Linked DNA regions of Drosophila melanogaster. The protein of the gene in region 3 interacts with the protein of the main gene of each other region in a pairwise test. Each region holds a gene or a part of one and is shown on either strand. Other genes may lie near its edges.

Region 1 (7,047 bases), on a different chromosome or scaffold from region 3:
TCTAGGGCTATCGATCAAGCTTTAATTTGTAATTTTACAATAAAATCTAGAGTTTTTATTCCCAAGTCCAGTTTGGATGGTTTCCATTGTGCCGTTCACTTCTCCAGAGGAGCATAGTTGAGCAGTTTTTCGATAAGATCCACGTGGCCCAGGAGCATGCGACGGCAGCAGTACCTCTTTAGACCCAAAGCATCCAGGGCATCTCTGGGATTGGATTGTAAGATATAATATATATATATTATATGATGAAATGCGGCGTGGAAAGGAGACTTTCCCGCGTGACTTACCCTTCGGTGTATTCCGCTTGCAGGAGACCCAAATACGACTCCCACTTGTTGCCAATGACCTTGCCGCAGGTGAAACAACGGATTGGAATAATCATTTTGTAGATCAGGCTCTAATTCTTAGTTAAATCACGAAAAATGTGCAATCACAACAATGTTTTTGGTAAAATGTGTTTTTACTTGTCATGAGTGTGACCAGAGTGCAGTTGTATTTTTATCTCACCAGCATTACAATGTATCGATAACACAAAAACTTATATCCATTCAAAAAGAACGCTAACGAATATTTGAATAAATTAATGGTTATTTTTATTAACTACCGACTGCTCGCTACATGAATGCGTTTTTTACAAATGAGTGTGTAAATAAATATTTTTGAACAGCGTCGAAGACTAAAAGTGCGTTAACTAATTACTGCTGGCCGTGAGATGCTCGCCGGCCACTTCGACGGAGGTGGATACCTCGAACAAATCTTTGGCTGACTCCTCGCTGTCGCCGTCGTTCCGACCCGCACTGGACACATCCTCCACCGTGCCCTTTTTCACATCATCCGATCTCTTTTGCAGTCGCTATACAAGGAAAGTCTCAAATGTTAGCATACGGAAGAATTTCTTGTCTAATTTTACCTACCGATTCGGCGGCCTCCTCGTCGGGCACAAAGATGCGAAGTGGCGTGTTGGCGCCAAGTTGCTGCTGCACCAATCGCTGGTGCTCCTCGAATGCACTTGCTGCTGGATCCTGAGCCACCTGCTGCTGCTGCTGCTGTTGCAGCTGCTGCGGCGGATGGTGCTGCACTGGTTGCTGCAACTGCTGTTGCTGCTGCTGCAATTGCAAGAGCTGCAACTGATGCTGCTGGTGTTGCTGCTGCAAGTGTTGCTCCTGTGCCTGTGCCTGCAGTTCCTCGAACTGCTGCTGTTGCTGCTGCTGGTACTGCGCCTGAGCCCTCAGCTCCTCCAGATGCAGCTGATGCTGCTGCTGTTGCTCCTGGGCCTGCGCCTTAAGCTCCTCCAGATGCAACTGCTGCTGCTTTTGCAGCTCAATGGCGGCTTGCTCTGTTTCCAGTTGCTGTCGACGTGCCTCCTCCTCTGCGTAGGCCTGCAGCAATTGGGAAGAGTCGTGGGCATGGCCATAGAAGTTGGACACCACGAAGCCACCTTCCGGAACGGAGGCAGTGACCGCTGACGCCACATTGGGCAGGTGGAAGGAGGCCGTCTCGTAGGCACCCTCATTGGGATCACCCAGTGCCGGAGCGGCAATAAGAGCAGCATATTGTGGCGCCGAATCAAGTACAGGATGGATGTTGTGATGTGGATCCTTGGCTGCCTGCAGTATCTGTCCATTGCTGGCTACCTCCTGGGTGAGATCGGCGTTCACGTAACCCGTTTCCACCACCGGTTCCGAGCTGGGCTTGAAAAGCTGCTGCTTGTGGGCCGAGTACAGTTGGTTGGACTGCGTCACCAGGTAGGTGGGATTATAGATGGGAATGTGGGCAGCCGGAATGGCGGCGATAAAGGACTGGGAGTGAACCGCCGGCTGGGCATACTGAATGGGATAGATCTCTGGCGCCGTTTGGGCTGCCGTCTGGGCTCCCACAATCTGAACCAATGGCTGGGCTGGCAGATGGTTACTCTGGACGTCGGCGGGCAGCGGTTTGTTGTTGCTGGGCGTATTGAAAGATTCGGTGGCGGGGCGAATCTTGGTGGTGGGCAGCGAGGGATCCGGATCTGGGGCAAAGAGTTTCTGCGAACCCGAAATGGGATCACGAATGGTTTGGTCATTGGTCTCGTCCTCATGCACACTGTACTTCGGTGGCAAATATGTCTGGGGACGGGCTGAGGAGGATGGTGTTTGGATCTGGGTCTGGGAAGGAGGCTTGTACAGGTAGGAGGTGTCAAGATGACCCTCCTCCACGTCCAGGTGATTGTCGGCCAGGTTCGGTGCGGGTACCGTGTAAATGGGTGCAAAGTGCTCGGTGTTGAAGTTGTTGTGCGTGTCCAGCTGTGGGGGATCAGCATGAATGGAGTTATGTTATATGTTCAGGGGAGTGGGGGGCATGTGCAGTATAAGGATATCTTAAGAGCAGGACATTTTCAATGGACTCCACTTACCGGCAGATTCTGCAGCTCGCTGTAGCTCACAGCAGTGGGCTTCTCGTACTTAAAGGGCTTGTCGTATCCGAATGTGGGTTTCGTCTTGGGCTTCACATTGTTCAGTTTGATCTTCAGTGGTTTCCTTAGAGATCCAGCTGGTTTCAGGTACACGGGCGACGGACCACTCAGCTTCATGGGACGAGGTGGTCCGCGTAGGTGCTGATGCTGGTACTGATGTGGCACATGGATCAGCGGATGCGAGTGTAGATGGGCATGTGAATGGGCGTGCGACAGGACATGTGCAGGATGCACGGAATGCGGATGGGCCAGATGGGCGGCATGGCTGTGCGCTCCATGTCCAGGACGACCCTTCAGTACCAAGGGCACCGGTTGATCGCTGCGTATTTGGACGACCAGCGTGCGCTGCTTTCCAGGCGCTCCAGCGGATCCAGGACCTCCAGCTCCAATGGCGGGACGACTCAGCTGCTTGGAGCTCTTCGGTGGCCAGTTGGTGAAAACCAGTGGACGCTGCTCGCAGTTAGCCAGCGCCAGGAGCAGTGCGAACAGCAGAAATGGCTGGCGAGGATGGGATGGGACAATGTCAAAGACCATTAAATCAAAAACATAATTACTCGTACATACAGACATCGAACAAAACGCCGAAAGAAATAAAAACTTTCTAAGCCCGGCAAAGGCGAAGAAGAAAAAAAGGGGCGGTGAGGAAGGAGGAGGGTCTTGTAATCGCTGGACAGCAACAAAACTGTAATGGCCTTAATTTGAACAAATTGGCGGTTTTCTAAAATTTTATCACGTCGCCTGCCATTGGCTACTTAACCAAAGCTGCTTAAGCAAACGAGCCAAACAAAGTAGCTTCGCATTTATAAATATACATACATATATATTTATACGGGTATGCCATAATACTTTGCCCATTTTCCCCGCTTCGATGGCTGATTAAACTTTCTGTCCACAATGCCATAGAATGAAAGTGAAAAGTCCGTCATCGAAATGTCTTCGTTCTATAAATTTTACTGTCGCATTGTTTACAATTCGGCGGGTATAATGCATCACTGACTCATTTGGTGACACTTTCATTGAAATTGGCTTTAGAAACTTACAGCCTACCTTATACGTTATATACGAGTATTTTGGATTTTTCATGCATTTTATATAGGTTAAAGGGAATGGCTCTATTAGTTTAGGTATAACACAATAACGAAGAAAGAAATACATATCATGCATCTAATAAATTTATTAAGGCGTAAAATGTCAGATTTTTATAGAAACATATATAGGAACCATTAAAATGAAATGCATGTTATTCCTTGAAAAGAATGAGTATGTGCCTCTTCAGCGCGGCTGGCATGGGTCTCTTTAGTCTCGTCGATGGAAGGGGAAGTGGGTAATTTGAGGCGGCCACTGGACATTGAAATTTCACCTGGGCAGCGCACCAGCAGAGCCACTGGAGCCACCGGAGCGGCGGCAATGACAATGGCAATACGGTGTGCCGTTAGCCAGACGTCAATCAAGAGGTGAAATGCCTAGGCGAGTCCAATACGTATAGTTATTGATTACGTGCTGCGTTTGCTTAAACGGATTGCCGATTGCAACTGAAACTGACTGCAGCGGCGGTGATCGGGGTAATTGCCACAAAATTGGTGGCTTATTGTTTATGGAGTGGTTAGTTAGTAAGTTAGTTAGTTTGTCGCCATTGCAACATGCATCATAATCATATGCAAATACCAGGGGCGGCCTGCTGGTGAATGAACTGCTGCCAGGAGACGGGTGCCCGATGCCAAACACTGAAAAGTCTGGCAGGGAATGGCCCACGGCGACGGCGGATAACCCGTTCAACGAAAGTCCAAATGGAATTCGCATAATTTCGGGTTTCCTTTTGGGCTTGGCCGGCAGTGCCATTGAACCTGACAAAGGATTTTTGCCAACGGCCTAGGCGGAACTATTGATCAGCGGGCTGTCGCCACAGCGTCGACCATAAACAACGGTGTGGTTAACCCAAATTGCAACTCGAAATGCAACTTTTATTTTAGCGGCAAGCATTTTATTTTCAAGCCCGCTGCACATTGAGGCAGCCGCCTGTGCCTCACAGTTTGCAGCTTGCAACTCACAGTGTGCGATGCAATTGGTGCACGTAAAGCCATCCATTGTCTGGATCTTGGCGAAACTTGGCGCATCAAGTGCTCCCATTGCAAATGAAAGTGCTCGCTTTGCCGGCCACCTTGCAATTTGACAAATATTCCGACGACTTCAATTCAATTGAAGAAGCTACAGCTTCATTGTGCAGCGATTGCAATTTGCTGGCTTTGCTGGCGAAGGTGAAGGTGATACCAAATTTGAATGCCAATCTCAGTCTGAAGTCGTTGATCGCCGATGAGAAGAAGAAATGCCATTGAATTTGCAATAGAAATTAAAGCCAATCCATTATTGTGTTATGCTGTGCGCAGTGAGAGACTTTTTAATAACCGCTAATTGTGGCCAACAAACTCACAATACCCGCGTGAATCACTTACCCTCATCTTCTTTCGGATTTGCTAGAGATTTTCGTTGTTTTATTGTCGGGTAGCTGGCTGATGGATCTGGTAGACTGTAGAAAGCTCTGGGGCAAATGTCGAGCAACTTTTGGCTTCTTCTGCTACTCCAGCAGCAAATAGATGAAGATCAAAATGGCAATTAGGTATATAATCACGTCAATTAACTTCATGTCAACGAGCGCCGCGGCGCTTTCTTCGATCTTAAACTGCACGCACAAAAGATTTGTAAAGAGTTTCGAATATAAATTCGAGGAGCAGCGACGTCCGCACCTGTTCAAGTCGCGAAGACAACTGACTGTTAGTTGGTCGCTGGTGGCGGACAAAAACCATGTGCCCATCCGCTGGAGTTCCACTGGAATGGAGTGACGACTCGCATTGGAAGTGCGCACTGAAGAAAGTGGTCGGATTTTCTTGACTCTGGCGCCGAATGAAATACAAAAAAAAAAAAATAAAATAAATAAAAAGCCAACAAATAAAACTAGTTTGCAGTGGATAAAGCGCAGCACGCGACCAGCAGCTACATGAATTGCCAGCAAGTGGCCGATTAATCGCAACGAAAGTGTTTTCCCATTGACTGTTCTTGGCCGGCGAAAGAAAGGAGCGAAAGAGACGGCGCCAAACAAAAGACTTAAGCAGCGAACTTGTTGTCGTCGCAAGTCAGCACTCGCTCTTTACCTTAAAAAGCAATGCGGACCAGGCGCACATGATCAAGAGATGGCCCCCCAATGCCGCCGTCTGTCACCTGTTGGCCCCACTTTTTAAGTCTTTTTTTTTGCTGGGGCAGCAAACAGGAGCAGAGCCACCGATTGAAATTACGAAATGCGGCAGGCACAGTGGGGAAAATAGCAAACATTTTAAAGCGGAACCAAACAATATTTTGGGAATAATAAGATATTATTATAACATTTTCATACTTTTTAAGATGTTGCCAATATTTTTCCAATAATTTTAAACTCATATTTAACTGCATTAAATATCTGGCTAAACTCGTCGAAGACTCAAAGGAATGCGTGAAAGCTTTTTCGAATTAGTTTTTGTACGGAAGTCAGCTCAATTGGGGGCTAAGGGTTTCGTAGAAAAGCTTGAGCTGTATTTTAAGCGATATTTGATGGTAATGTAACTTAATTCAGATGTGTCCCAAAAACGAATGGATGCAATTTCCATAACCAATGGATTCCGTATGATAGGCTTCACATTTCGGATGTACATATACCAAAGGCCCTTCGATGATAATGAGACATGCTTATGAAACGCTCCCCAATAATTGGTCGCATTTTATGCAAGGCGCGACATCCAATTTCTAAACGCAATTGGTCATTGGAATTTTATAACGCCCGGCCAGCCATTTTTTGGGTCAGTATTTGGCGGCCCAAAGTTTTGGGACATAAATCAAAATTTCACTTTCATAAAGCTCTCAGTTTGGTGGTAATTTCTTTGCTATTTTTTTCCGTATTTATATTTTATTTTGAAATATTATTTTTAACAAGGTTTTTTAAACATTAACAACATAATATTATTATTATACCTTTTATTTCATACATTTATCATTTCTTTTGGTTTTTTCTTTCGGTTGCGTTTTAGACAAATGTTTAAAATATGCATTTTTAGCTCTTCAATTTGTTATTTAAAATGTTGTTTATTTTTTGTTGTTTTTGCCTTTGCAGGACCATTTTAAACTAATTTGTCATTTTATGCTTTCTGCTCTGATTTCGGTTTAGTTTACTTTAATTTCAATGTAAATTAATGAATTTTTTTTATCGCTTTTTACGTTTTATTTATGTCTACTTTTACGTTTTCCGTTGTGTAAATATACCTCATATAAATAGCGAGTAAAAACTAAAAAAATGTAACTACATTAATATGATTTGCATTGTTTTTTTTTTTTTTGGGTTTGCATTATTTATACAATTTATTTAGCACACATTGCCGGATGTGTATGTGTGCGTGTGCGGGTATCATGTGAAAGTGCTGCGAAATTATAAAAAATATTTTTTCGTTTTTCTTTTTTTGCTTGGTTTTTTAGTTGCAATTTGTTATGTTAATTATGATATCTTAATATCGTTATTCCTTAAAAAAATGAACATTTCCGCCTTAAACCTGTAAAATTATCATATTAGTTTCGGT
Region 2 (3,378 bases), on a different chromosome or scaffold from region 3:
AAAACCTAAACACACACGAGGTCCTGGGTATATACCATTGCACCTTCGGATTTAAGGAGTTCACATTCGATGCGAAGAAACTGGGAGAAAACCGTACCACAGCACTTAATATTTATGTGGAACTAAACACGTATCTCATGTCTAATGAGGTCTAAGTATTTCACAACTTATATTAGCTTTCGTTTCTAATATTTTTCATTACAGGATCCCATCCCCATGACCTGGAAAGTGCAAGGGGAACATAGGCTTTTCAAGTTGCACATGAAGCATCCAAAAATCACTTTTAACTCGGATCCAGTTTCAATTTACTTTGATTGAGTTTGATTGCCAAGGAACGAAGCTGTAGACTGATGACTAGTTTGATATGCCAGCTGAGATAGATAACTTTAAATGGCCGAGCCAAATAATTAGTTGTACGTTTTCCCTGGTTATGGAAAAGATTCAACCTTACCGGCGGATTTCAATGAGAAGTTTCCAGGAGTTCTTCAATGCAAGCTCCTCTAGAAGCTGCCAAGGATTGACAGTACTATTAGTTACAAAATAAAGGCTTAGTTTTATTGAGACTGTGTGTCAACTTAATTCAGGAGTACAACTCAAATTCAGTGCGCTCAGCATCCGTCATCGGTTCGACGACTTGAAGGCAGGCATTAGCGAACTCCACGAAGAGTGGCTCCTGCATGGCGGCCATCATGGCCGACTGGGCATTGATGGCCACATCAATCTGCTGGAGCAGCGAACGCAGGTGTGGATTGTGGAGCAAATTACGCAGTTCCTGGCAGTTTTCTGTACGGAAACCATCATACTATGAGAAATGTGTATAATTGCGAATTTAAACACCTACCTAGTTGCTGGAGCTTCTCCGCGGCAACTGTGTCGTCGGTGGGGAAGGGCACATGAAGCGTAGGTTCCTCCTGGTAGCCAACTTCAGTCTTTTTCAAGTCGGACTCCCTTGTCGCACATTGGGGCGAATCCCTGTGTGTCTTATAACAAGCCACAGAGCAGCTACATTTTGCGACATTTATTATCTCCGTAGTGAACTGTTCGAATAGCTACTTACTAGGGTGCCGAGCATTTGCTGCACTTGTATTTTCTCAAGTTATCTACGCAAATAATGCATTTTTCCATCTCATCAAATTCAATGTCGCGTGCAAAATAAAACTCAGCTGTGCGAGTTTTATAGCCTCCAGCTTTTGCCTCTATCGAGGGTTCCAAGCCGTTTCTGCTCCACTGGAACGGCGTTATGTTTTTGGAGGTAAACAATCAAAAAGTTAAATGCAAAACGCAAGCAGAATAATATTAAAATGCGCATAAGATCGCGGGGCTGCATGTTAATTTAGTGAGAAAACAAAACTAGTGGAGTTCTACGACGAGTGTGTTGAAACGAATCCCATAGCTTAGTTAGATTGTTCTGTAGCTGCCAGCCTTCGTCAACAGATGAATTCTATCTTTGGCGCCATTACTTTTAATTTGAATTTGAACAATTTGCTGGAACAAATAAAATGTTCATCATCAACATTCAATTTTGCTCATCATAAATAAGTAAATACTTTATATAGTCAGAAAGCTTCAATCTACTGTATCTGTATCTCACTGACTTACATATTGAAAACGTTTAAAGATTATCCACAGGTATTTTAGTTATTAACCATACGATTAGCGGAGTGTTTGGTCAGATTGAGGAAGACATAGAGTCGTCCTGCCCTTTTCCGGTTACGAATAGCCTTATTTGATTGAATGTATCCTGTGTATCCGGTCTGTTTGCTTTGGCCAGTCTCATTTATGGGCCATCCCGGGCACGTCATCTTCCGTGAGGCTTCCGAGCAAACAAACGAGGAACGCTTATCATTGCCCTCCCATTTTTCCGCCCCAAAGCCTCCCAATCCTTTCCCCCCGCCGCCGATGGCAATGCGCAGTCTGAAGCCACCTGGCGAATTAACCGAGAATTCGACAAGCGCGAGGGGAGCAATCAAATGACGGTCGGCGTGTCCGCAAATTGTAAACATATCCTGCACACGGAACGTACTGAAACGGAACGGTCCTTCCCGGGAAGGAGTCGTTCAGATCCGCTCCAGCTCCAAAGACAAGTACAGTACAACCAGAAGTAAAAATAAGTACAACAGTGAGGCTCGATTGGTTAACCGAAGCATGGAATGCCCTTTGTTATTAAGCTTTCTTTCTAATGAAAACGTGTTATGTGTATGCACAATATATAGTCCTAAAAAGTAGGTTTAGTTGCAAGAGAAACATCTCATTTATATGGCCATATTCAGCTATGAAATATACACATATAGATGTGTGTCATTAAGATTTGATAATAATGATAGTCCTATAGGTAATGTCATTGGGTTATAACTTCTTACAGTCCTGTATACGATAACTACACCCATTGAGATCCTTCGTGTCCTGCTCCTAGTCTGAGCCGTAATAACCTCTGCGAGGGTATGGCAAACAGCGAAAAACTTTTGGTGGCAATAAATGACTTCAATGACTGACTGACTGACCGGATGGGGTGGTCTAGGTGCATGGCTATACTCGTATATGAATCGTTTTTTTTCTTCTTGTTTCTGTTGCCATATTTTGGGGGACTTGTAGCCGGGACTGGTTGTTGTTATTTTCAATCGTTTTTGCTTTGTTTTCTGAGCGCTACCAATTGGATTGCACAAAGAAAAACGAGTGGTACAAAAGAAAGCAAAGGATGCAGGCTAACAAAGAGTTTGGGGATGTGGAAGGTCTGGGGAATCGGGCCGGGTAACATGATGTGGCGCCTCTGCCGCTTCCGCTGTTCGTGAGGCACAAGCGCGATAATTGCCAGCGTTATCCGCTCGGCCTGCCAGTCAAATAGGCGCAGCAGCAGAGGCGCTGGCAAGCAGCGGCTATCGGCGGTGGCAGGGATTTCGGGGGGGCAGGAAGACCCTTCGTGTGACTCGCCTACTTTTGATTTACAACATTCGTGCAACATCAGCAGCAGTGTATCGCCAAAAGGAAAAGGGGCGACCAATGCAAACAGCAAGAAGAAAAGCGAGACACACGCCACCAAATGGGGCGAAAGTTTCTCGCGGGGTGCAGTAGTGGCATTTTCCGAGGGCAGGTGTCGTTCGTTAGGAGTTTTCAGCGTTTTTCATTCCCAGCTTTTCCCAGTTACCAAATACCAACTACCAACTACCAACTACCAGTTACCAGCTAGCCGCCAGCGAAAAAGCCAAAAGCGATATTAATAGATAGCGGCACTTTTCGCTTCGTTTTTATCGCCCGAAAAGCCAAACGAGGAAAACACTGGAAGGTGGAAAAATAAGGGGGCAGATAGTCCTGGCAATTGGGCAGATTGACAGATCATGCAATCGTAGTGGCACAGCGTTTATAGTGCATATAATGAATATT
Region 3 (4,185 bases):
CTGTCCAGCGTGGAATCGAAGCTGTCCGAGCAGATCAACTACTTGACCCAGGTGTCCACGGGTCAGCCACACGAGGGTTCCGGCTATGCATCCGCCAAAGTGCTCCAAATGGCTTGGCATCGCATTCAGCACGCTAGGTCCAGAGTGCGTGAACTTGAGGAAACTAAGGCCAAACACTCACATGCAGCTCGTCAGCAGTTGAAGCGTCAGCAGGAACATGCCGCCGCCCAGCAACAGCAGCAGCAACAACAACAGCAGCAGCAGCAACAACAACAGATGCAACAGGCGGCACAACAGCAGCAACAACAAACCGGAGGAGGAAATGCCGGCAGCGGAGATCATCCCATGGGCGGAGACTCCTCAATGTCAACCAACTAATCTTGCGCTATCTTTAAGGGTAAGGGTTTTAAATTTTTTAGAGTGCATTCCGAAAAGGCACATTTTGTCAACCAATTGCGTTAATCGAAACATAAGTGACACTCTTTTTAAGAAATACATTTGCATACTACTATTTGTACTTTATTTGCCTAACTTAGAAGCTAAAGTTATAATGCATCCGGTGTTGAATCAACGGTTTTATCACAAGTGGTAACCAACGTTTCTTGATTTGGTTTAGCTTGACCAATGCCAAAGAAATTTCTCTCGCAAACATGTCGCACGCACTGCAGCAGGACATTTCTTTCATGGCGTATATCGGATTCTAATAGTTTCGACAACATAGTGTTCGGGGTTTGCTTGCGCGCTCTCTTGTAGTTCAAGCCATAAATTCGCTTTGGAGCTGCTCTTTTGGGTGCAGTTTGTGGCTTCGGTTCCATTGGTTCAGGAGGTGGTTTGACTGGATCTGACGCTGTTATAGTTTCGGTCACTCGCTGGAAGGGCTCTTCATCCGGTCCTTCGTCGGAGGAGCCATCTTCCTTGGCAGGCTCTGAGTTAGATGTAGTTATTTGACTAATGTTGCTTATTTCTCGCGGCACTTGGTCTGATGATGTCATTTCCAACATAGGTGTAAAGTCTTCACAAGTTTGAGTATTATCAACAGAGTTAGGTGTATTTGAAGCCTCAAGGGCTGGACCCATTTCTGTGATTTCAGATGGCATACTTTGGGAGCTCTCTACTTGTGCTGGGATTTGTTTACTGCAGTCTGCTGTATTCTGATCATCACTCTCAGCTTCACTTTCTTCGTCACTATCTGACCCGTACATTCCAAGAAAGCTAGACAAAGCATTATCCTTCTTTTGAACTTTTGCCTTAAAGTGCTGGTACTCCGGCATTTGTCCAGTTCCTCCAAATTTAGCATTTCCCAGGGAGCACAAATTAACTTCCTCTTCTTTTTTATCTTCATTAGTTTCTTTCTGCTTCAAAGCTTCGTTTGCTTTATCAGTACCAACACGTTTTTTCTTCTTTTCATTGGCTTTCCCTTTGGCACATCTCTTTTTCTTGTTTTTCGGATCGAAACGAACTTTGTGATCTCCCTGGGGTCCTCCTCGCGTCCGTTGGCGATCTTCCCGGTTTCCGAAGCGAGATTTCGAAGCCTCCAGGCGCTCTCCGCGTTTAATTCGCTGTTCCTTGGCTAATCTAGCCAGCTCAACATTGGCCGCAGTGGGAAATCTACAATTTGAGCTGCTTATTTTAAAGAACAAAAGAAATTTCTACTAATTAACTTACTTTTTTCTTCGTTCTGCCCTCCAAGCGGCCAATTCTTCCTCGGACCAAACTTTCTTTACCTTTACGTAGGTTCCTGTGATGTGATTGGATTCTATGTGACGTTCCAGGATGTTGTGGAGCGCCGCAAAGTCGCAGTCATCGGCAGGGCAGAACTCGTGTTGCTCCAGGTGGAGTTTCATATCCTGAGAGTTGGCCAGCTCCATTACACATGTGTGACAAAATTCCGGTCGCGGAGGAGAATGGTAAACTGGCGGGGATGCAGGCACGCTCACTGGGCTGCTCTATGTTTTGAATTAAGGAATGTTTAAAGAACAAGCTCGAACTATTATTGGTGCACTCACTTGTTCTTGGTGCAGATATTTAGCTGGCACTGTTGATCCTCGTGCACCGTACATGGGCGGCGGTTGCTTGGAGCGCGGCAGCAGGGTCATCCCGCTGGGGGTCAGGTAGAGGTGATTGGATGTGGTGGATCCATTGGGCTTGCCGAACTTTGGAGACGGTAATACGAATTTCGGCAGAACCTTTTCTTCCATTTCGTCGCGTACAAACGTTAGAAACAATGTGCGCGAATGGACATAGTGTGACCGAAGCTATCGAATATACCAACATGCGTACTACATTTTAAAAGGAATGTCTTTCTTAAGGTAAGATTTATTTTTATTAAAATCATTTAAAAGTATGAATAAGTGCTATTTTAAAATACCTTCGCTAAAATTCGGGTTTTTAATAAATTTAGAACTTATTTTAGACATTTTTTCTTAACAAAATTTATTAGATTAGTCCGTATTTAACAATGTAAATTACAGGTTGTTTTTATATTTGGGCAATCCATTGCAAAAAGTGCCGTTGTTCCTGCAACAACTTATCGATAGTCCCACCCACATCGATAGACTAGTATGACCGCACCGCACTGTTGTTGGTATCGCGACTGGCAAGACAAAAACAATTAGCTGCGAAGTGCAAGTCAATTGAGAGAGCCATCTTAATTGTATTTATTAAGTTTAAGCGTTTAGATTAGTGCGAATACTCAGCGGCCAACGAAATGCAGAGTGTTCTCAACACCGTCAAGGGCACAGCGCTCAATGTGGCCGAATATCTGACGCCCGTTTTGAAGGTAAAAAGTGCCAAATAAACGGAAAACTGATCAAATGTGTATTTCAATACGTACATATGAAACGAGGGTGTACATATGCATCATGACAAAGAAAACCCGCAAAGATAAGGGGTTTCCTCGCTCTAATATTGATTCCATTTTCCCGTTCCCCATTTTCCAAGACTTGTGTTAACGGCCCCCGGGAGGCTATAAAACTGGATCCAACGCCAGACTGTCTCCAAACGTAAAATAAGGGGCGTCCCAGAATTCTCGGCCTATTTTTGTGTCCTTTTAAGAAAACGGCCTACAATAATGTAACGGTTTATGGGAAATACTTACATTTTAGCGTTAAGATTAAAGATATGGAACTAATATACATATATACTAATTATTTATCAATTAAGAATTCTAGATACAACTTTCCACTTTGTTGGTTTTGAATTGTTGTACAAATATCGTTATTTTTTTTTTGCAGGAATCGAAATTCCGTGAGACAGGTGTTCTCACTCCGGAAGAATTCGTGGCCGCCGGTGATCACCTGGTGCACCATTGTCCAACTTGGCAGTGGGCCGCTGGCGATGAGACCAAGACAAAACCCTACCTACCAAAGGGTATGTGCTGCGATTTTCCACTAATAACTAGCCAATTGACTCATTAAAATCATTTCGCCCCCACTTAGATAAGCAATTCCTGATAACGCGCAATGTTCCCTGCTATCGTCGCTGCAAGCAGATGGAATACGTCGGCGAGGAGACGCTGGTGGAGGAGGAGTCCGGTGACGGCGGTTGGGTGGAGACTCATCAACTGAACGATGATGGCACCACCCAGCTGGAGGACAAGATCTGCGAACTGACAATGGAGGAGACAAAGGTGAGTGCGGGTGAAACTTTACCACGACTATCATAATCAAGTACTGCATTTCAGGAAGAAATGCACACTCCAGATAGCGACAAATCTGCGCCGGGCGCTGGGGGCCAGGCTGAAGACGAGGACGACGACGAGGCTATTGACATGGACGATTTCGAGGAGAGCGGCATGCTGGAGCTGGTCGATCCGGCTGTAGCCACCACGACACGCAAGCCGGAGCCGGAAGCAAAGGCCAGCCCAGTGGCAGCCGCATCGGGCGACGCGGAGGCCAGCGGTGACTCTGTGCTCCATACACGCACGTACGACCTGCACATCAGCTATGATAAGTACTATCAGACGCCGCGACTCTGGGTGGTGGGCTATGATGAGCAGCGCAAGCCACTGACCGTGGAACAGATGTACGAGGATGTCTCGCAGGATCACGCGAAGAAAACTGTCACCATGGAGTCCCATCCGCATCTTCCAGGTCCCAATATGGCCTCTGTGCATCCATGTCGGCATGCGGATATCATGAAGAAGATTATACAGACGGTAGAGGAGGGCGGCGGTCAGCTGGGAGT
Region 4 (4,918 bases), on a different chromosome or scaffold from region 3:
AGCCCAAAGGTTTAAAAGTGATTCGAAAGCGTTTTTGAAAGTGATTCGAAAGCGATTGCTGCGTCCGATAGCCGATAGCAGACCAACCTGGCGGAGGGAACAGCGACGGAGCAATCGATACCCAGGCCACAGCACCAATGAGCCGCATAGGTGTGAGAGAGACTGGGGCGAGCGGTACGTCCGAGCAGCTGCAGCGGGAACAGGATAGCGACACATCGGAACAGGCGGTGCGGAAGCAGGAACGGGATCTCAAGGAGCTCCTCGAGTGGTTCCGGCAAAATGACAAGCTGCCCAAGGAGATTGGTAAGCGATGAGCCCGAAAACCGTGCGGGAATCCAACATCCGTTCACTGCCCATCAGTCCCATTCCACCTCCCACCACCCACCGTCCATTAATTAGGTCGTTAGTAGGCCGCTCCGCTCGCCGCCTTACGTCACTGTAGTCAATTGTATACAAACAGTGAATGTACAGGCAAGTCTCCCTAAATCGAACCGCACTTCCCAATTCAATATGTCCAACACGATGTTTGAATTAATTAATATTCCCGTAATGTGCAAAGTTCCATGGGCTTAACTCCTTAGCAAAAACTTCATTGTATCGTACCATATGTGTATTAACAGATCCGCTGCTGCTCCGGCGCTTCTACCAGTGCATGTTTGGAGACGTGGAGGAGACTCGGAAGCTCATCGAGGTGAACTACGCCCTGCGCAACCGGCACCCTCACCTGTTTATCAAGAGGGATCCTCTAGACGCGGACAGCAAGCGCACCTTTGACTACGCGTAAGTGTGTCCTTATTGGGAGAAAAGATTCCCTTTCCTTTGAGGCAGGGCCATGTTCCAAAAACATACATACCCGTATACCCCAACACTCGAATTTCAGAGACATTCTACCGCTGCCTGGCCTAACGCCGGACAAATGCAAGGTGTCGCTGTACTGCTTTCGGGAGTTCGAGGCCTCCAAGGTGAGTAATAGCTTCTCTTTGCTGTAGGAACTTGCGCTCCATACCGCCGATTGCTATCCCCAGATGCACCACACGGAGGACACGCGCGCCTTCTTTATGGTCAGCGACTGCCGGTTCGTGACGCCGGACGATCTCGCCAAACCGGATGTCCTGTCCGAAGGAGAGGTGCAGATATTCGACATGAAGGGCACCACAATGCGGCACATTTCGCGGCTGACGATCAGCACGCTGCGCGCCTACATCAAGTTCCTCCAGCTGGCATTTCCGGTGCGCCTGCGCGCCATTCACATGATTAACTGTCCAACTTACCTGGATCGGATCGTCAGCGTGGTGAAGCCGTTCATCAGCGACGAGGTCTTCAAGCTGGTGGGTTTCTTGAGAAGCCATTATGTCTCTAATAGCTTCATCTCACCATTACTTTCTACACTTTAGATCCGTTTCCACACGCAAAGCATAAATACGCTGTACGAGTTCGTGCCGCGGGAGATGCTGCCGGAGGAGTACGGCGGAGGAGCCGGGTCCTTAGAAGCACTGCGGACCCATACCCAAAAGGCCTTGGTTGAGCATCGGTGGGTTTCGATCTGCATGTTATAGTTATTCAGTAACGCCTCGTTGCCTTTTGTAGCGACTATCTGATGGACCCCGATCACTGGGTGGTGGTGAAGCCGGAGAAGCGGAACGAGAGTTCGTGGAGATTTTTCAAATGATTACCTAGAACATCTTCCACGGTAGCAAGGAGTCTCCTTCAACTGAAGACGGTTAAAAGTGTTTCAAGTGTATTGGGATAAACAGTTCCTGTGGCTTTTCATCTCTTAAATATCCATTTTTTTTTTAAATTTGTGTTGAAATTGCTCAAAAATAAATAAGTAAAAAATGCGTTATCCGTTTTATTTTTAACCCAACAATGTACAATTATTATACTAGTATATATTTATGGAAATACAACAAAAAAAGGGATTTAATTGAAACACACATTCAAAAGTAGAATGCGCAAAAGGCCAGTGGAGACAAAAAGCGATTATCGATAGCGAACTATCGAAATATGCCTATCGTTATCGCACGACGTTGTTAGTGGCATTATTTATTTTGTTGCGATTTAGCGTTTTTCCAACATAACATTGCTAAGTGAGGGACCCCGAATCGCACAGCATGGAGCGGCCACAGAAGATGCCCAAGGTGGCCAAGGTATGTGCCATCGTCGGCAATCCACCAAACCAACTTATCCAATCCAAAATTTCACCAGGTCAAAAACAAAGCGCCGGCGGAGGTGCAAATTACGGCGGAGCAGTTGCTCCGTGAGGCCAAGGAGCGAGATCTGGAGATTCTGCCGCCGCCGCCAAAGCAGAAGATCTCCGATCCCGCCGAGTTGGCAGACTATCAGCAGCGGAAGCGAAAGACCTTCGAGGACAATCTCCGCAAGAACCGCATGGTAGTCAGCCATTGGATCAAATATGCTCAGTGGGAGGAGCAGCAGCAGGAGATCCAGCGGGCGCGCTCTATCTGGGAGCGGGCGTTGGACAATGAGCACCGGAACGTGACCCTCTGGCTGAAATACGCCGAGATGGAGATGAAGAACAAGCAGGTGAATCATGCTCGCAATCTGTGGGATCGGGCAGTGACCATCATGCCGCGAGTCAACCAGTTCTGGTACAAGTACACCTACATGGAGGAGATGCTGGAGAATGTGGCAGGGGCGCGACAGGTGTTCGAGCGCTGGATGGAGTGGCAACCGGAGGAGCAGGCCTGGCAGACCTACGTCAACTTCGAGCTGCGCTACAAGGAGATCGACCGGGCACGGGAGATCTACGAGCGATTTGTCTATGTGCACCCGGACGTGAAGAACTGGATAAAGTTCGCCCGCTTTGAGGAGTCTCATGGGTTTATCCACGGCTCTCGGCGGGTATTTGAGCGCGCTGTGGAGTTCTTTGGTGACGACTACATCGAGGAGCGCCTGTTCATCGCCTTTGCACGTTTCGAGGAGGGTCAAAAGGAGCACGACAGGGCGCGCATCATCTACAAGTACGCTTTAGATCACCTACCTAAAGATCGCACACAGGAGCTGTTCAAGGCCTATACGAAACACGAGAAAAAGTACGGCGACAGAGCGGGTATTGAGGATGTGATTGTTTCCAAGCGCAAGTACCAGTACGAGCAGGAGGTGGCCGCCAATCCCACCAACTACGATGCCTGGTTCGACTATTTGCGCTTGATTGAGGCTGAGGGCGATCGGGATCAGATCCGTGAGACGTACGAACGGGCCATTTCCAACGTGCCGCCTGCCAATGAAAAGAACTTCTGGCGACGCTACATTTACCTTTGGATCAATTATGCTTTGTACGAGGAGCTTGAAGCGGAGGACGCGGAACGCACGCGGCAGATCTACAAGACCTGTCTGGAGCTAATACCTCACAAGCAGTTCACCTTCAGCAAGCTTTGGCTGCTGTACGCCCAATTCGAGATCCGCTGCAAGGAGCTGCAGCGAGCACGCAAAGCTCTGGGCTTGGCCATCGGCATGTGTCCCAGAGATAAGCTCTTCAGAGGCTATATTGATCTGGAGATTCAGTTGCGTGAGTTCGAGCGCTGCCGCATGCTGTACGAGAAGTTCCTGGAGTTTGGACCGGAGAATTGTGTCACTTGGATGAAGTTTGCCGAGCTGGAGAATCTGTTGGGCGACACGGACCGGGCGAGAGCCATTTTCGAGCTGGCGGTGCAGCAGCCGCGCCTGGACATGCCAGAGCTGCTGTGGAAGGCGTACATCGACTTCGAGGTAGCCCTAGGCGAAACAGAGCTAGCCAGACAGCTTTACGAGCGACTCCTTGAGCGGACGCAGCATGTGAAAGTGTGGATGTCGTTTGCCAAGTTCGAGATGGGCCTCAGCCACGGCGACAGCGGGCCAGATGCGGAGCTGAACGTGCAGCTGGCAAGGAGAATCTATGAGCGAGCCAACGAGATGTTGCGTCAGCTGGGAGACAAGGAGTCGCGTGTTCTGTTGCTAGAGGCATGGCGCGACTTTGAACGCGACGCCTCCGATTCGCAGGAGATGCAAAAGGTAATGGACAAGATGCCGCGGCGCATCAAGAAGCGGCAAAAGATCGTCTCGGACAATGGCGTCGAGGAAGGTTGGGAGGAGGTATTCGACTACATCTTTCCCGAGGACGAAATGGCTCGACCCAATCTCAAGTTGCTGGCTGCAGCTAAGATGTGGAAGACACAAAAAGACAACACGGTGGACGACCCGCCCGCTACAGCTATTGCATCTGAGCCAGAACCTGCAGCTGATGCTGCCCCAGCGGATACGACGGATAGCGGTGACTGATTCACTTCCGCCTAAAAATCGTTGCTTTTGAACAAAGCTAAATATCTGAAATTGCAGATTTTTCGCTTTATTTTTGGATACCTTAGTAATAAACCACTTAAATAAAAAACTATAATGATCTTTTTTTTTGTTATATTATCTGATATATTTTTCTGCTATTGTGCTTTAAAATTTTTCTCCCCAAAAAGAGATTATAAAGTTCTTACTTGGCCCTCAGCAAGAGTGTGAAAACAGAGTATGTGAACCTCATGACCTGGAATCAAGTGAATCATATCATATTTGAATCAAATCAAAGGACATTTGAATATATAATTGTGCCTTGCCTGCTCGAAGGTCTCCAGCGAGAGTGCGATGTAGTTGCCTGCGTAGATAAGAGAAGGCCGCTGCGTCCTGGCCAGGGTGAAGAGCAGTTCGCGCTTGAACTTGGGCAGCTGTTCTATCCAGTTGCAATCGTAGAAGGCATCGCACAGCGCCTCGCTCTGTGTCCGCATCCTGTCCCCAAAATAGCAGATTACAAACACCTCCAAGGTGACGGCCGAGAAAAATACAATCGAGATGATCATGGCGGTGTGGTCGTGGTCATCCGCTACGTACAGGAAGTGCATGGCGACGGTACACTGGACGGCGGCGGAGCAGACGA

The links.
Region 1: the proteins of Nufip (region 3) and CG13627 interact in a two-hybrid assay, tested with the Drosophila melanogaster proteins (one large-scale study listed by BioGRID).
Region 2: the proteins of Nufip (region 3) and CG8204 interact in a two-hybrid assay, tested with the Drosophila melanogaster proteins (one large-scale study listed by BioGRID).
Region 4: the proteins of Nufip (region 3) and crn interact in a two-hybrid assay, tested with the Drosophila melanogaster proteins (one large-scale study listed by BioGRID).

What each region holds. Positions count from the first base shown.
Region 1 is NT_033777.3:24,710,953-24,717,999, reverse strand, and holds CG13627 (uncharacterized protein), read right to left. Parts: upstream 5,221-7,047; 5' UTR 5,094-5,220; coding exon of another isoform or gene 5,025-5,093; 5' UTR 4,909-5,024; coding exon 4,903-4,908; intron 3,217-4,902; exon of another isoform or gene 3,023-3,216; coding exon of another isoform or gene 3,017-3,022; intron 2,951-3,016; coding exon 2,393-2,950; intron 2,283-2,392; coding exon 915-2,282; intron 854-914; coding exon 692-853; 3' UTR 570-691; downstream 1-569. Other genes in the region: Polr2L (RNA polymerase II, I and III subunit L), read right to left, coding at 96-204, 288-382; CG46316 (uncharacterized protein), read right to left, coding at 5,025-5,093.
Region 2 is NT_033778.4:15,572,609-15,575,986, forward strand, and holds CG8204 (uncharacterized protein), read right to left. Parts: upstream 1,384-3,378; 5' UTR 1,126-1,383; coding exon 1,058-1,125; intron 1,003-1,057; coding exon 842-1,002; intron 784-841; coding exon 581-783; 3' UTR 536-580; downstream 1-535. Other genes in the region: CG30466 (uncharacterized protein), read left to right, coding at 1-149, 205-318.
Region 3 is NT_037436.4:18,746,111-18,750,295, forward strand, and holds Nufip (nufip), read right to left. Parts: upstream 2,258-4,185; 5' UTR 2,199-2,257; coding exon 2,007-2,198; intron 1,947-2,006; coding exon 1,666-1,946; intron 1,609-1,665; coding exon 546-1,608; 3' UTR 501-545; downstream 1-500. Other genes in the region: MED11 (mediator complex subunit 11), read left to right, coding at 1-378; Atg3 (Autophagy-related 3), read left to right, coding at 2,708-2,779, 3,234-3,369, 3,438-3,628, 3,683-4,185.
Region 4 is NC_004354.4:2,247,057-2,251,974, reverse strand, and holds crn (crooked neck), read left to right. Parts: upstream 1-1,991; 5' UTR 1,992-2,111; coding exon 2,112-2,147; intron 2,148-2,205; coding exon 2,206-4,278; 3' UTR 4,279-4,381; downstream 4,382-4,918. Other genes in the region: CG3191 (uncharacterized protein), read left to right, coding at 138-303, 621-780, 881-962, 1,026-1,328, 1,395-1,531, 1,588-1,669; Or2a (odorant receptor 2a), read right to left, coding at 4,481-4,531, 4,602-4,918. UniProt on the Drosophila melanogaster protein: May be involved in pre-mRNA splicing process. Involved in embryonic neurogenesis and cell rearrangement during Malpighian tubule morphogenesis.